Drosophila melanogaster: one gene and its partners. The protein of the gene in region 1 interacts with the protein of each later gene in a pairwise test. Each region holds a gene or a part of one and is shown in the gene's direction. Other genes may lie near its edges.

Region 1 (5,957 bases):
AGAATCTGTCCACCATGCTGGTGTTGCATATGCGCGCCGAGGAGGCGCGCTGCGAGGTGGAGGGCAACGATACGGGCATCAAGCGCAGCAATGTGGTCACCTGGTATCTGGAGCAGGTGGCGGACCAAATCGAATCCGAGGATGAGTTAATTTCTCGCAAAAATCTCATCGAGAAGCTTATCGATCGCCTCATCTATCACGATCAGGTCATTATTCCGCTCAAGACATCCACGCTGAAGCCGAGAATTCAGGTACAAAAGGATTTCGTGGAGGAGGACGATCCCCTGCTGGTGGTGCATCCCAACTACGTTGTGGAGTGATCCCAGCCGATCAACAGTTTATTACTATGCCCTAAATCTAGCTGGTTAAGTTTCTGTTTCCGCGTCTTGCTTTTTTTTGCTCACCCAAACAAACAATGTATTTAGGCAGTAAGTTTATAGTTTAGAGACATTATTGAAATCCATTAAGGATTTCTTGGTTCAGTTACGTTCCAAATCATTCATGTTTTCGCCGAAATAAACGTTCATCTCAAGATTCATTTCGTTTTTTGCTGCTCATTAAGAACGGAATGAAAAATGCAACCCAACATGCGCAGTCAAAATGATAGCAAATCCATGTTTTAGCTTGGTTTCCATTCATTTTAATTGTATAGATGCGTTGATTAATTGCCTATGAAATAAAAACGAGGCGCGCAGTGCGATCGAGAGCGTGATAGATACAATCCTACTTCTCGAAGGTGTAGTGCTTGACGCCAGGGCTGGGATATTGCTTGGCGGCCACGGGGCGGTACATCTTCTTGTCATCCAGCCAGTAGTAGAGTGCCAGGCAGCCGGACATCACGCCCAGGAAGCAGGCAAAGTAGTACGCATTGCTGTAGCGTGGCGGTTCGGCCTGCGACCAGCGATCCTCGCTGTACAGATCATGATCCGCCGAGATCTGCAATGGAAATGGATCAGGGTTTGACTCTTTTTTTATGCAGCAGCTGCTGCTAGCCGTTGATGTTGGCGCTTACGGGCTCGTGTTGGTTGCGCTTGTGCTCCGGATAGTCCCAGGGATAGTACGAGTCCTTGGCCTCCACACCCAGACCGTAGCCCAATTTGGGATAATCTCCGTAGCCCAGACCATCGTCCGCATACGGTTTGTACTCCTCCGGCAACAGATAGTACTTCTTGGCCGCCGCCAGGCGCTCCTTCTCCGTCTGTGGATACGGACCCGGCTTGTAGTCCTTATTCCAGCCAGCCACTAAAACGTAAATGGCGAGAAATTCGAATTTGTAGCCATTCGGTGCATGCAAAAGTTACGTAAACAAAACAGTGGGGCAGGTTGCACTGTTGCCAGCGCAGCCCCGATTCACACTTACTGCTGCGGATCGCCTGGCGAGCCACGACGGGATTGGCGGCGCACAGCTTTTGGGCCAAGCACACGGTTTTCACAAACGCCGACATTGCAGGCTTGTTTCCACTAAAAAAAAGTTCCTCTGAAGTTACGATTCCCGAAAAAACAGCTGTTCGCCTGCGGATGGCACACAAACGATAGGATACAGTGCCGCAACGGTCTGCTATCGATAGTTGTAGTTTCAAAAAAAACAAATAGAACTATCAACAGATTTTAAATTTGTTAGCTATGGAATAGGAATTTACAGTTAGTACTAAGGTAACTAGGTGTTTCTTAAAAATGTTTAGGATTTTTGTTTCTCAATTTTTATGAACTTAGGCAGCAATCGTTACAAAGTCGATAAGAACAATCGATGGTCCGATAGCTCTCACCCGCGCATCGAGGTGCTGTTGTTGTTTTTTGTTGTTGTTGGTGTTGTTGTGGTGGGCTCGTCCGTGAAAGATCACTTGCTTGCAAACTTATTTATTAATTACCGACTAAGGAATAAGCATAGAGATGGTGCTACCATTATTGCAACGCTCCACGCTTCGCGGCGTTCAACAAATGACGAAACCCTGGGCCGCCATTGGAAGTTTGCGTCTGGTAAGGATTCCAAGTGCTGTGCAAATTGGATATATATTTTGTAGCGAGATGGCAAAAATATTTTGCCTTATGTAATGCTAGATTCGCCCATGCAGCGGCTAATAACTCCAAAATATGTTATTTTTTTGATTGTAAACAAGGCGCGGCGAGCAGAAATGCCAATGAAAAGTGCACAAATGCCGGCGTTTCGTAATCATTACACAATGGAAAGCGGAGGCGAGCGACTTCCAGGCGCTGGAACGGACGTTCCAATTGGCACACCACTGCGACCACTTGTGGACGAAACTCCAATTGGCGCGCGACTCCAATTGGAAGCCGTCGCATTGATTTTTTCACTCAATTTTCGCAAACGTTTTTTATTTTCATTTCGCACTCAAAACTCAAATCACATGATTGAAAACAAAACAAACTCACGGCGTTGAAAAAAAAAGGGAAAAGAGAGAACCATAAACTCGCGAAACGAGTTGTAATTCAAGAAATTGTGCTAGTCAGCGAATTCTTGTTTTTTTTTTTCGGCAATTGAATTAAAACCGGTTAATTATATATGGTACTAGATGAATGAACGACCACTGTAATACACTACCGATTATTCAGATAATGCTGCATATAAAACATATGTATATAAGACACTAGATAGTAGAGCTACAGTCCGGCGTAAATTCCACCCATAAATCCCGAGGAACAGCGCTGGTCACATGAATAGCACTGGAAATGCAAAAGTTCGAATCAGTCTGTTTTTATAGAATTGCTATTGCAATTATTATGCATACAATATACATATATACACAAATATAGTTCGAGATCCTCGCACTACTTTCGTGCCCCCTGCTGTGTGCACCCCATGCCCAAGTTGGGTCTTTCATATTCAGCGCCCAGTGCTCGGGCATTCAACACCTCCCACCAATTCTGCGGGAAGTTCGCTCGTTGAGAGCGCTCTTTCAAGAATCTGTTCGTTGTACACTCGGCTTTTTGGTTTTGAATCCCCCTAGCTTATCGCCTCTGCCTTTCAATGCCCGAGCACGCCTCAGTTAACATCGAGCAGCAGCCGTCGTCGAGTGGTCGTCCTCTGATTTGTTCACTCTGATTGCCATAGTCTCAATTTGGCTTCACTTACTTACTATCTGTCATATCTGCATCTGAAATGGTCTGCCCCTGTGTTTACTTACTGATAATTATAGCCATTCTTATCGGATTCATTCGCATCGACAGGCCTCCCAGGAGTTTCGCGTGGAGAGCGACACCTTTGGCGAACTGAAGGTGCCCGCGGATAAGTACTATGGCGCCCAAACGATGCGATCCCAGATCAATTTCCCCATCGGCGGAGCCACCGAACGGATGCCCGTAAGTAGTGCCCCCCACTGCCTCCATCTACGTATACATATAATTCTCACGTAAATCTTTCGAAAGTATTTAAAAGTCAGCATTGAAGGTTCAAAAAGCAGCAAGGTCTAGCTAATTACTAAGTAAAATATGGCTTAAATTAAGCTTCTATTACAGAAAGCAGAACAAATGGTGAATGCTAGTTCAATGAGTTTGTTCATTGTAATTCAGAGTCTATAGAAAGTTAAAGTCTAAAAAATGTATTAACTACATTAACATAACACACAAGTATGTTGCGTAAAGTAAAAAATAAGAAGAAAACACATTGAAAGCAACTAAAACTCTCGTTAATCCCCGCCAGAAACCCGTGGTCCAGGCCATGGGCATCCTGAAGAAGGCCGCCGCCGAGGTGAACAAGGAGTTCGGACTGGACAGCAAGGTTAGCGAGGCGATCTCGAAGGCGGCCGACGATGTGATCTCTGGCAAGCTATACGACGACCACTTCCCGCTGGTCATCTGGCAGACGGGCTCGGGCACGCAGAGCAACATGAATGTGAATGAGGTGGGCATGAGCGGTCATTTGTTTCATTTGCACTATTCTCAAATCTCCTCTAACTCTCTAACTCTCAAGGTGATCAGCAATCGTGCCATTGAGCTGCTGGGCGGCAAACTGGGCTCCAAGACGCCCGTGCATCCCAACGATCATGTGAACAAATCGCAGAGCTCCAACGATACCTTCCCCACCGCCATTCACATCTCGGTGGCGCTGGAGCTGAACAACAACCTTAAGCCGGCGATTAAGACGCTGCACGATGCGCTGCGTGCCAAGTCGGAGGAGTTCAAGGACATTATCAAGATCGGACGCACGCATACGATGGATGCGGTGCCATTGACGCTGGGCCAAGAGTTCAGCGGCTATGCCCAGCAATTGGCCTACGCCCAGGAGCGCATCGATGCCTGTCTGCCGCGCGTCTATGAGCTGGCTCTGGGCGGCACTGCTGTGGGTACGGGTCTGAACACACGCAAGGGATTCGCCGAGAAGTGCGCTGCAAAGATCGCCGAGCTGACCAGCCTGCCCTTCGTTACCGCGCCCAACAAGTTCGAGGCACTGGCTGCCCGCGATGCCATGGTGGAGGTGCATGGTGTGCTCAACACGATCGCCGTTAGCCTGATGAAGATTGCCAACGATATTCGTTTCCTTGGCTCCGGACCGCGTTGCGGTTTGGGTGAGCTCTCGCTACCGGAGAACGAGCCAGGTAGCTCCATCATGCCCGGCAAGGTGAATCCCACGCAATGCGAGTCGCTGACAATGCTCTCCGCCCAGGTGATGGGCAATCAGGTGGCGGTGACCATCGGTGGATCCAATGGGCACTTCGAGCTGAATGTATTCAAGCCCCTGATCGTGTCCAATGTGCTGCGCTCCATTCGGCTATTGTGTAAGCTACCTATTACCCACCCTTGGTGGAACGCCAAATCAATCGAATCTATTCCTTTTTGTAGCTGATGGCAGCAGGACCTTCACTGCCAACTGTGTGAATGGCATCCAGGCGAACCGCGAGAATATTGCCAAGATCATGAACGAGTCGCTCATGCTGGTGACCGCTCTGAATCCGCACATTGGTTACGACAAGGCTGCGAAAATTGCAAAGACGGCGCACAAGAATGGCACCACACTCAAGGAGGAGGCCATCAATTTGGGTTACCTGACGGAGCAGCAGTTCAACGACTGGGTGCGACCCGAACAGATGCTGGGACCCAAGTGAAGTGGAGCCAAGTAGGCCGACGACGAAATCCATCATTCAATCATCGCTGTCATCGGAATCGCAGTGTGATTTTCTAGATCAGATCGTTTTGTTGTATATGAATCGCTCGGAAACACAGAACCAATAATAATTGAAAATGCTGAAGCAAAACAATGGTCTGCATCTGGCTAGGCGCAATCTCTGGGTGGTTTGCAGTGGCCTCCGTGCCAAGGATGTAAGTACGCGACAATGGTCGCTGGCAACTCATGGCTACATGGGGCATCTTTGCAGTGCGACAGTGGCGGTAAGGGCGGCAAGGGCAAGGAGAATGGCAAGTTTCGTACGGAGAAGGACACCTTCGGGGAGCTAAAGGTGCCGGCGGACAAGCTGTACGGCGCACAGACGATGCGCTCCAAATTGAATTTTCCCATTGGCGACATAGGCGAACGTATGCCGGTAGGCAACCAACCAACCAACCAACATATTCTGGCATCTACCAAGTGCTTTGCCATAGCCAATTAATCCCCAAACTGCCCGCAGATGCCGGTGATCCAGGCCATGGGCATACTGAAGAAGGCATGTGCCGAGGTCAACAAGGATTACGGACTAGATGGCAAGGTGTCGGATGCCGTATCCTGCGCCTGCGACGATGTCATTTCCGGCAAGCTATACAAACAGGGTCACTTCCCATTGGTCATCTGGCAAACCGGTTCGGGCACCCAGACCAATATGAACACCAACGAGGTAAGATTGTTAGATAGGGCTAACGAGAGAAATGTGTATAGCTGGATGCTTCTCCTGCCCCATGCCATTGGCAAACCTACTAGGTGATCAGCAATGCGGCCATTAAGATGATGGGCGGCGAACTGGGCAGCAAGAAGCCGGTGCATCCCAACGATCATGTGAACAAGTCGCAGA
Region 2 (5,249 bases), on another chromosome or scaffold:
CATTGTTTCTCTGCCACATTGGTTTATGTTTCCCTCGCTTTTGAAAAGTAAAGTAAATTTGCTTTATTTCTGTTGGCAATCGATTCACGTTTAGTTATTTCGCTGGCTTTGATGTTGGATGGGAATGGCCCGCTTACATATCCCGCCAGCAGCAGTTTTCCCTCACCCACTTCCTCACCGCAAAAAATAACATTTTCCTCGTCTTATTTTCTTTTTAGGTAAGCCCCGAAAAGAGTCCTATACTCCAAACGGTTCGCAGTGAGTAAAATATATCCTGCACTACCAAAAAAACACTTGTTTTCAATTAATTAGGCAAATGAACTAAAGCGCTTTATAAGTAAATTGAAAACAAGAAGTGGTAGGAAATCGTATTCGAATCAGGCACTAAGCATTTTCTTTTAACGGGCAGTGTAACAGGTAAAACAAATTGCTCCGAACCGAGCATAAATTAGCAATGGCAATGTAATTACACTTTCATTAGATTAAAATATCATAAGTGCCATAAAAATTAAGTTATGCCGAGGGGCGAGCACAATGGAAATGAAATAATCAGCTTACCTCGGCTGCGGGAAAACATAAAAGTCCGGCCGCACAAAAGAGCCTCGCCGTCGAGGAGCCACCGCGTTGCCAGGACACCGGCCAGGACTCATTGTTTTGGCAAGGAATCGCTTTGATTTCACGCGATAATTACAACGTGCTCCGCGAAGAATTATTCCGACTTGGGTTCGTGCAGCTATTCAGGTGGCAAACTTCGGGATCCTCAATCCCTGAGTCCGCCCACCAATTCTGGTGGAATCGGAGCGTTTCCTTGAGTCCTTTCGACGGCCAGTATTTATAGCCCCGGCGACATTTTGACATGCCGGGAGTGCCGACGCCCAGAGCCAATTTCTTGACCCCTGGCCAATTTTGACCCATTCTTTTAGGTCTTGCAAAGAGGAATTAATATTTTTGGAAACACTTATTACTCTCTGATTTATGGAAACTATGGTTTTATTTAACTAAACGTTAGTAAGGAGGTGTATTTCTCACATCTATATCTTGACTAGCTACAAACATTTATAGAAAAGATCATTTTAATTTTAAATTTGTATTAAATAAAAGATTCAATATTGCAAGACTTTTAGCATAAGTACGCAAAATTCCTTAATTTAAATAAAATATTTTAAAATTATCCCACCCAGCTTATTTCCATATATTTTGATACAAAACTCGATTGCATATCACGACATATAAATAATAAGCTGTGAAAGTATTTTCGGGAACTTTTGGGTTCATTTTTGTTGCGAATATTTTTTGTCGATGCCCTTTCATTTTTTAGTTCTAGCCAGCAAAATGGGCTGGCGGGTGTGGGTGAAGTGTCGAAGGGTTATCCTTTTTTGTGTGTGTTTCTTTTGCCAATTACCGCACGCTTCGTGAGGCATGGTCGCCGCTTCGGGCACTCGCTGCGTATACGTAATTTTTATTGGACACTCTCACGCGTCGTCATCCATCGTCTGCCGTCGTTTCCACCATCCATCCATTCGTTTTTGTGTCACGTCGTGAGCTTTTGGCTCGTACGCAGAGTCCTAGGCCAACACGAGAATTTTAATAAGAAATCTGATAAGTAAGCTCTAAATGCGTACGTTATTAAACAGAAGTCATTTGTATCTAATATCCATTAGGGTGACGTTTGTATAGCTTGATATCAAAACATAAAGCTTTAATAATATAAATTTAGAAATGTTCTCACTTACATACATAATTGAAGTCTATTATGGACTTGACATTTGAATAACGCTAACAATACGTTTTTGTATATTAAAATACCAAAAGTACTTATAATTTTGCAAAACTACAGTAAACTTTTTAAAGGAAATGTTTAAAATGGAATAGAACTTGCGAAGCGAGTGACTTTCGATACAAGACCTTGTTTCCTACAGTTTGAGAGTCATACTCTGCTTATTCCACGAAAAAAACGAGAATGGAGAGGGAACTTACTCGCCGAATGTGCAACCAAAACAAAACGGATAATTGTTAGTGTCCTTTCTCTCTTTTACTCTCAGCTGGAAATCTCTGACTTTACAGCTGTTATTTGGACTGTTAATTTACATTTGCCGATGGCCCAGAGAACTCGGAGCCGAGTCCTTAGAGCTTCGTGCGGTGAAAGGACCCGACTTCGTACGGGCCAAACAGTTTTCGACTGAGACTCGTGACGAACGGACGCGCGGCCAATGGCAAGCGGGCAGTGCGATTCAATTCGATGCGAATTCGACTCTAGCGGAAGCGGAAATACGAATGCCAGCGAATTGCCAATGGCACGGCTGATATGTGTGCGTGCCGCGAGCGAGGATCGTCGAGTCGAGTGAATGGAATATCCAGAAACGTCGATCGCAATCTTCGAGTCAACACGGAGCTAAGCTGTAAATCATAAAGTGTCAGTCAGAAAAACCAACAAAAATCAGTCGAGTGTGCTTTCTTCGCCCGAGATTTGTGCCACTGCATACTATAGCCCATAGTATATAATTTAATTTGCCAAATGTGTTGGAAAATTGTATGGCCCGGCGAAGGGGAAAGTGGCAAGCAAAGGAAAACTCCGAGCAGCAGCTGGCAGTGCCGCACGGCTTACTGCTTACTGCTTATGCTGGTAATGGGTTAATGCGGTTGAGCACTCGCATGCCTTCACGCTTATCCCCCCACCACCCATTGCCCCTCTTCCATCTCACATCGCTCCGAAAAAGCAAATATTTCATGTTATTTACCTAGGTGCGCCACTTTCGTTAATTGTATGCAAAAAAGTTGCCAACCTTATCCCCTCCCACCACACTATGGCACACTCTCCGTGTGTGAGTGAAGTGAAGTTTTTGGCTCAGGTTTATTCGCTACAACAACTTTCGGGTGGCTGGTTCAATTACAAACCCCTGGCCCACGGCCCACAGCCCACAGCCCACGGCCCATCGCATATCGCCTGCCGCACTATTTCCGCTCTAAAATTTGAGCCAACTTGCCGTTGCCAGCTGGGCTCCTCTTGGTTTAGTACTGTTTCAGCAAAGCAAAACCTGTTCCTGCGACGTTGCTGCGCCTCACTTAGTAAATAAATTGGCAATCGCATTTAATGTGAGTTTATGTGCGTCGATACCTTGGGTCGACTGCTCGGCTCGGCTCCTCTACTCTGCCATTTGGTAGTTATTTCTTTTTTTTCGGTTTCTTGGCTCGTGCTCATGTGCAAATCGTAAATTCACGTTAATGCCGAAATTTCACGTGATAATGACGTGATTACCTGGCGCACACACACACACAGGCCCACAATGTGGCGATCCATGCACATGTCTCCATGTCCCCATGTCCTCATGTCTCACCATGTCGCCTGCCTATCCTTGTCTGCCAGGACTAGGGGCATAAATACGTAACATCCAACTGGGAACTTGGTACTGGTAACTGGTAACTGCTAACTGGGAACTGGTAACTAGGAACTCACTCCGATGGCAGCTCAACTGAAAAATGAGTGCCCCTAAAATAGTTGCAATGCATTCAACTGAATCGGAGTGCGGTGGTAGTCCTGGCCGGGAATTTCTGGTTAGGCCCAAGCGTAAAATTGTTGGCGTAGTTCCCAAGTGCTGTTCAATGAGTTGGAGTTGAAATTGCTGCAATTGTTCAGTGCCACCGCTCCATTCGTCGTAATCCATTCCCAATTTAAATGGCAAAGGGGTTCTGTTCTGATTTTTTTTAAAGCGTTGCCTAACTGTCTCAAAGTTTCTTTGCAATCGCGTAATTTGGCCGTATTCTTTGCGTTTTATTTGCAACTTTTTAATTACTTTTGAGTAGCGATTTGAACTTTGCGCCTGTCGCCCGTTTACACTCTAATTAAGCGGCCCATTCAAGGGCTCTGTATTTTGTATTTATATCCTTTTGCTCCTGCTCCTGTTTCTTATCGCGCCAAGTAAAAGAAGTTCTCGGCTTTTAAATGCAGCTGTCGCAAGTTGGTGGCGCTTTAAACGTTCGCTGGCATTTCCGTTTCCGTTAAATCGCTCCTAAGCCAGTTTGTTAGTTTTACCTTGACATTTTATGCAGTTTTTCTCGGTGTTATATGTATGTATTTTTTCTAGCTACCTTTTGTGTGCCTTTGTTTTGCTTGTTACCTGCGCGCAATTTTTTCTAGGTACACAGAAAAAATAATCTTAAAGAGATTACGAGATTATGATACCACCTAACTTACATTTGGATGTATAAATAAATTTTCTCATAACTTAGGTCTAGCCAGTTTTCACTTTAGTGGAGTGTTAATAAATTTGTTAAGTTAAATAAATTAACTTACAAAAAAAAAAAAAAAGTTCAAAGAATATCGGTTTCTGACTTCATTCTTTGTGGTCAATCTGGGACATGCCATTATTTAGATACTTTTTGTTTCAGCTACATAAATTGTATTTATTTTGTGAACAACAAAAGAAGTACGCGAAGGTACGCAACTCCAAAGTGAATTATTTCGCCGTGTGTAGTGGCGATGGCAGCAGCTGCTTGTGGAACAACTTTAACATTATTTGCTTTGCTGCAACACTCCCCCGCACCCTGCTCAGCGATCCGTGGCCTTTGTTCGTCTCCGGACTCCTTTCACTTTGAGTTCCCCGCTGTCCGCACCCGAATCATGAATCATTTCTGCCGCTGCACCCACCAACTCCCATCAGCTCCTGCCGTCCTTTTGGCCACATCTAAGTGTTGTTTAATGCAGCTTTTCAACTCATTCGCTTTGACATACACGTGTGTGCCGTGTATGGTTCTGGGTTCCGGCTTCCACTTTCAACTTTCTACTTTTTATTTGCCAACCTTCCAACCTTGGTGCCTTTGCATGTAGCATCAGATTTGCTTATGCAAATGCGTCGCCGAGAAGGGGATTTGCCATTTGCACCGCTCGTCCTCGATCGAAATGTTTACGGTTTCTATTCGAAGAGGGCTGATGTCATAGCTTGTCGATGGCCAGTTTAAATAATTGCCACCGCAATAAATTATTAAATCAACAACAATTACTCACTGGCCGGCCAAAGGGAATCAATCAATGCTTGTGGGGGAGTCGAAAATCGAGTGAAATTAAGTGATGTGGAGTGGAGTGGATTCATAAGCTGACAAAATGCCAGCTCACTCCATGCACCGTAGGTGTATTATAACGAGTTTCATGACAGCAATTATGCGAGGTCGGCACCGCACTCCTCCGCACACACACAAACACACACTCCCGCACATATGAATACTTATTATTACGCATACGCAGTGGTGCCGGA
Region 3 (4,916 bases), on another chromosome or scaffold:
TTATGTGGACAGGTGCAGTGGCCAGGTAAATTCAGGTGTGTGCGTGTGTTTGCCTCCGTTTTCATATGCCGTCCGTCTGTTTTTCGAATGCAGCCCATACCGATAGCCATACCAATACCCCTGCCAACTCCCATAACCAGGCCCAAACCCAGACCCAAAGCATATCCATAGCCCCCGACTTCTGTGCCTAAACGAACAGTTATGCAAATCGAGAAGAGGCGCACCTCCTCCCCCAACGTCGCCCCGCCCCCTGCTTTATCACTCGAGGGGTTTACTTTACTTTTTTGTTTCTCTGTGTATTTAGCGCCTAATACCCAAGTTTATGTCGCTTAATTATAGACCTTAAACAGCCGCCGCGAACAGTTGGCTTAACATGCTAATCGCCAGACTCGGGGGCTAACCCCTTTTCCCATCCTGACGGCGGTGGCGGGGTATCGAATGACCTTCTTCTGATCTGAGACGCCACTTGTTGATCGATAGTATGGAAACTCTAGTAGCTTGGGAGCGGAAATCCGCGATGCGAAAACGAAAACTTTTGTTAGCCCAATCTGGTAATCGATAGTTCGCTTCGATCCCACATCAAACGCCGGCCTTTTAGAGCCAAACTATTAAGCGGATTTGGCCAATTCGGTAGCGGACAGATTGGAACAGAATCGCTCGGAGATCTGCTTTTAATAAGGCTTAAATAGCTCTGAGCGAGCACGATTAATTCGCCATAAAAGTGAGGCTTTAATTGGCTGACGAGTGGGAAGCATTAACTAAGGAAAGTGTTTTTGCCCAAAGAGCAAAGAATATGAATAGACTTTGGTAGTTACACTGCTAGGAATCACGAATACTTATATGTATCTTTGATGCGCCTTATTTTGTTCATGTTTGATTTGGCAAATTACTATAGATTAAGTGATTGCATTTATATATGGAAAATATAATCTTAATTTATTGATTTCTAGTTCTATTTTCGTTTTGCTGCCGTATGTACATTGTAAAGTTTTTCTACTGACATTGAAAGATAAGAGTGAAAACACTTTGCCCTTTTGCACTAAATTTGAATGCCAAACGGACTGCATTCAGAAGTATCCACCCGAAACAATGGGTGGGCGTTTTTCAAGTGGGTGGTTTTCCAGTGGGTGGTGCGCCAGTGGGTAGTAGTTGTCCTTCACATGCCCGCTTACCTTTACCTATGACATTAAGCGAAGCAAATTGAGTGACTGACTCGATTAAGGCACTTGGTCAGTGCATTTACTTACTGTACTACTTGATTACTAAGTGCACTCATAATGCATGCAATTTAAATCATAATTGAAATAATTATCGTAGAACGAGAAATAATATTTAAAGAGAATGGTAATAACTAAGAAAATTAAAAAAAAGTTACTTTATCTGATGAAGGATGAAAAAAAGAAAAAAAAATTTAAGTTCTTACTTATTGTTTATAATTATAATCATTACAATTATATTAAACAATAAATTATAATAATAATTATTAATATATTATTAATTATATGTTAATTCTAATTATAAATAAGTTAAAAATAAAAATGCAATTAGTGAAAGAAAGAGGTATAACAAGAGCTTAAAATTTTACCTTTCTCTTTTCAGATTTTATGCTTTGGTGCTCTTCTCTTAAAATTTGTGTTTTGGAGAGACTCGTTCTCATCTCTCGTTGAGCGACGCGAGCGAGAGAGGCAAACTATTTAAGCCACATCGCAAGGCAACTCGTGTTCAATCTTTGTTTTCGTAGCGCGGCGGTCGCATCGGAGTCGAGAACTCGAAGTGAAGGTGCACGAAGAATTCGATAAATACAATTAAATAGTTTTGAATATATTGCGGTGATTTTTGGATTTGCATACCGGTTTTCGAGAAGCGAATTCGTAAAAACATGTTATGTTTAAATATCGAGAAGTGTCCCAAAGTGCGAAACAAACCGATTTAACAACAAATGCCCAAAGCGAATCACAAACGTGAGAGAAACAATAAATATATAAAGTGAATTATTATAGCATAAAATGAATTATTCTCTTATCAGTGTGTACATTATATTTTCATAAAGCACAAATAAAATTCAGTGAAGACATTAACAAATTCAAGCTAAAAGTTAAACTGAAAGCTAAACACTTTTTTTTGTTGAAATTGCAATTTTTTTTATTATAAATGTTTGTACTGATAATTGCGCTTACAACAAAAACGAATACACAAATCAAAGCAAGTGTCTGTGTGATTGTAAAGAAGAATGTGCTAAGCAAATAAGGCAAATAACAACCATATAACTGTAACTGAAATCCCACACTGAGAAAATAATCAGCGAAGAATAATATTTTGACATCCGTCTCTTGAAATATAAGATCAAACTTTAGGTTAATACTCATTAGAAATATATCAATAAGCTATGAAATATCATTTAAATAAAAATGTAGTGATCTTATTTTCATTTTTCTTCGTGCTCTCATAAGACAAGTTGATTGATTTGCGCAAAGGGAATTCGAGACACTTAAGATATTACCAAGTTCAGTGAGCAACCGCCCTAATGTCAAGGTCTTTCGCTTGGGGATCGGGTTTTAACCTAATGGACTTGACCCCCATTTTCTGTGGCTGTACGAAATCCGCAGCTTAAGTTACCAGCAAAACATATTTACTCAATTAGAGCTGACACCTATTATGTCTCAAGTTGCAACACGTGGTGCAATAAGTAAAAAATATTTTATCAATTCTGTTTAATTTTCCTAATTTTTGATTTCTCTCTAATCGTGTCTAGTAACCCATAAAACTAACGACAATTCGCATAAACAAACATAATAAAGGAAACGTTAGTAAAACAACAGAGTGTAAAAAAGGTTTAGCAACCGCGAAAACGACTTACGAATTTTCACAACAACTTGATGTTTTGTAACGGAGTTTCAAGAAACTAGTAAAAACTTTATTGTGAATTCTTCTGCTGCTTCTTCTTTGCAAGTGTGGCAAAAATTTTGTTGCTCTGCGGATTTATCGAGAACATCAACCACTCACGGTAAGTTGTGCTAATTATTGCTTAAACTTATTTAGTTGGCTATTTTTATTGCAATTTCTTGAGCATGATTCACAAGGGGAATTCAAATCAGAGGCTGCCCTTTAATGAATCAGCTACTTGGTTGGCATGGCCTACATTCAGTTCTCTAAAAATCACTTCTGATATATAAATACGCAGAACTAAATGCAGCCACTGATTTGAAATATCAAATATATTGCAGGTCTTCGTTCTGCATAAGCTTGATGTTCTGAAGTATATTGTATACATCGTTTTTTTGACGTGCTTTTCAAGTGTTAATAAGTTGAGCTGCTTCTATATCATACTCATATGTATGTGTGCAAATGATATATCTGTCAGTTGTCCATCATTGGCTAAGATCAAATCCGAATCTAAGCCATTTCGAGTTGAACAAACCCAATCGCAACGCCGCCGAAAGCGAGAGGCACGGGTACGTGAACTCCATATTCCGACCACTCTGATCTAATGCCGCTGAAATCGCACAAGGTTGTACTTGTGTACGAGCGTATGTAGATAGATGGATGAATAGTATGTGGTCCAATACATTCCGATTTCGATTTCGGATTCGGTTTCGCTTTCGAAGTCGGCTTAAACTTGGCACCTGTTGCGGTCAGAGCAACACTCGACTACACTGTCGCACAAAGTTCGCATAGAATTGAATCGAGCTTGAAAATGTTTTGTGGTCGCAAGTGCTGTCTGTTCTGCCTGTTCATGAGCGCCTGGGGCTTCTTGATGCTGAATCTGCTGGGTATCTTCTTCTACGTCCAGTCACTGATGCTCCTGGAGTCCCTGCCCTTGCCCCACCACTTCCCCAGTCAGGAGGCCTTCAAGGAGCAGGCGGACGAGGCCTACCAGGACGTGTCCACACGGTGCTTTGTAGCCGCCGTTTTCTATCTGGGATTCGTCTTCATTGCGATAGTGGCCATTCGTCGGGATAACAAGAGAAGGAAGCGACTCTACAAGCGGGGTCCCGGTCACTTGCGATTCCGTCGTTGATTTGTATGATTGGTTATTGAATAAACAATTTATTTTCATGGTTCCAATTGCATTTCACCCACTCAGCGACGTCCACCCACTTGTTGGTTCGAAAGATCGAAAGAACCAGTTTGTTGACCGCATTCTGCGATTAGCCTTAACTTCTTTATCGCCAAGCCACTTTTCGATTTCAAGTCTGGCTGACTGTTGTCCACTCCGCATTATGCATTCGTCTCGGACCAACCGATTTTTGACAGCGCACGTGACACCTTCACCGAGGTGTGTTCTCTTTTGGGCATCATAAATTTCCGTGAAATTCTCTTTCCGAAACATGCTAATGGGAATGGGGTGTGGGTTCCCAGTTCTGGCTATTCCCCCCCCTTTCACCTCTATACCGTAGTCTAGTCTACACCGGGGTTATGTATCTTGTTCTTATCGACCGAGCTTTTGTGTCTTACACGAAAACCGTTGTGTAAATTATCGTACACGATTTTCTAGTTGTACGCTTGTGTATCTGGCTTGTTATCACCACCAACCAAGTGCAGTCTGCTGAAAACTGGTTCACTGCATTTACTCATTTTTTCGGGAACTCGGGTTAACTGATTTGGAGATCTGGCAATACCTGGGAAATATTCTAAATTTCCTCCATGGATGGTCTTCTATATAATTGTGCCACCCGAGAGACCGTACAATTTCTTATGCAGATGTAGAATCGTATTTTTTACGAATCTATGAAACACACTCGTAGAAAAGTGGTTCAATTCAGAAACATTTGATATTGACATCAAATTGAGATTTTTAAGTTTGTGACGCGAAAAAAATTTTATATTTTGCTAGGCAAACACTTGGCTAAGAAAATCAAAGGTCTCTTCCCACAGAGAAGGGAAGTGAAGAGCAAGTACCATGTCCCGATTTTTGA

Evidence for each region.
Region 2: the proteins of Fum1 (region 1) and Gfrl interact in a two-hybrid assay, tested with the Drosophila melanogaster proteins (one large-scale study listed by BioGRID).
Region 3: the proteins of Fum1 (region 1) and a interact in a two-hybrid assay, tested with the Drosophila melanogaster proteins (one large-scale study listed by BioGRID).

What each region holds. Positions count from the first base shown.
Region 1 is NC_004354.4:6,676,640-6,682,596, forward strand, and holds Fum1 (fumarase 1), read left to right. Parts: upstream 1-1,784; 5' UTR 1,785-1,890; coding exon 1,891-1,977; exon of another isoform or gene 1,978-2,479; intron 2,480-3,000; exon of another isoform or gene 3,001-3,118; coding exon of another isoform or gene 3,119-3,121; intron 3,122-3,186; coding exon 3,187-3,318; intron 3,319-3,658; coding exon 3,659-3,859; intron 3,860-3,928; coding exon 3,929-4,733; intron 4,734-4,797; coding exon 4,798-5,060; 3' UTR 5,061-5,196; downstream 5,197-5,957. Other genes in the region: Mcm6 (minichromosome maintenance 6), read left to right, coding at 1-320; ND-ASHI (NADH dehydrogenase (ubiquinone) ASHI subunit), read right to left, coding at 724-936, 1,013-1,242, 1,361-1,445; Fum2 (fumarase 2), read left to right, coding at 5,197-5,274, 5,331-5,495, 5,580-5,783, 5,867-5,957.
Region 2 is NT_033777.3:20,446,609-20,451,857, reverse strand, and holds the start of Gfrl (glial cell line-derived neurotrophic family receptor-like), read left to right. Parts: upstream 1-2,170; 5' UTR 2,171-2,399; exon of another isoform or gene 2,400-2,413; intron 2,414-5,249.
Region 3 is NT_033778.4:22,135,248-22,140,163, forward strand, and holds the start of a (arc), read left to right. Parts: upstream 1-1,720; 5' UTR 1,721-1,961; intron 1,962-2,185; exon of another isoform or gene 2,186-2,752; 5' UTR 2,753-3,004; intron 3,005-3,647; exon of another isoform or gene 3,648-3,694; coding exon of another isoform or gene 3,695-4,018; exon of another isoform or gene 4,019-4,048; intron 4,049-4,687; exon of another isoform or gene 4,688-4,900; coding exon of another isoform or gene 4,901-4,916. Other genes in the region: CG11269 (uncharacterized protein), read left to right, coding at 3,695-4,018; gom (gomdanji), read left to right, coding at 4,901-4,916.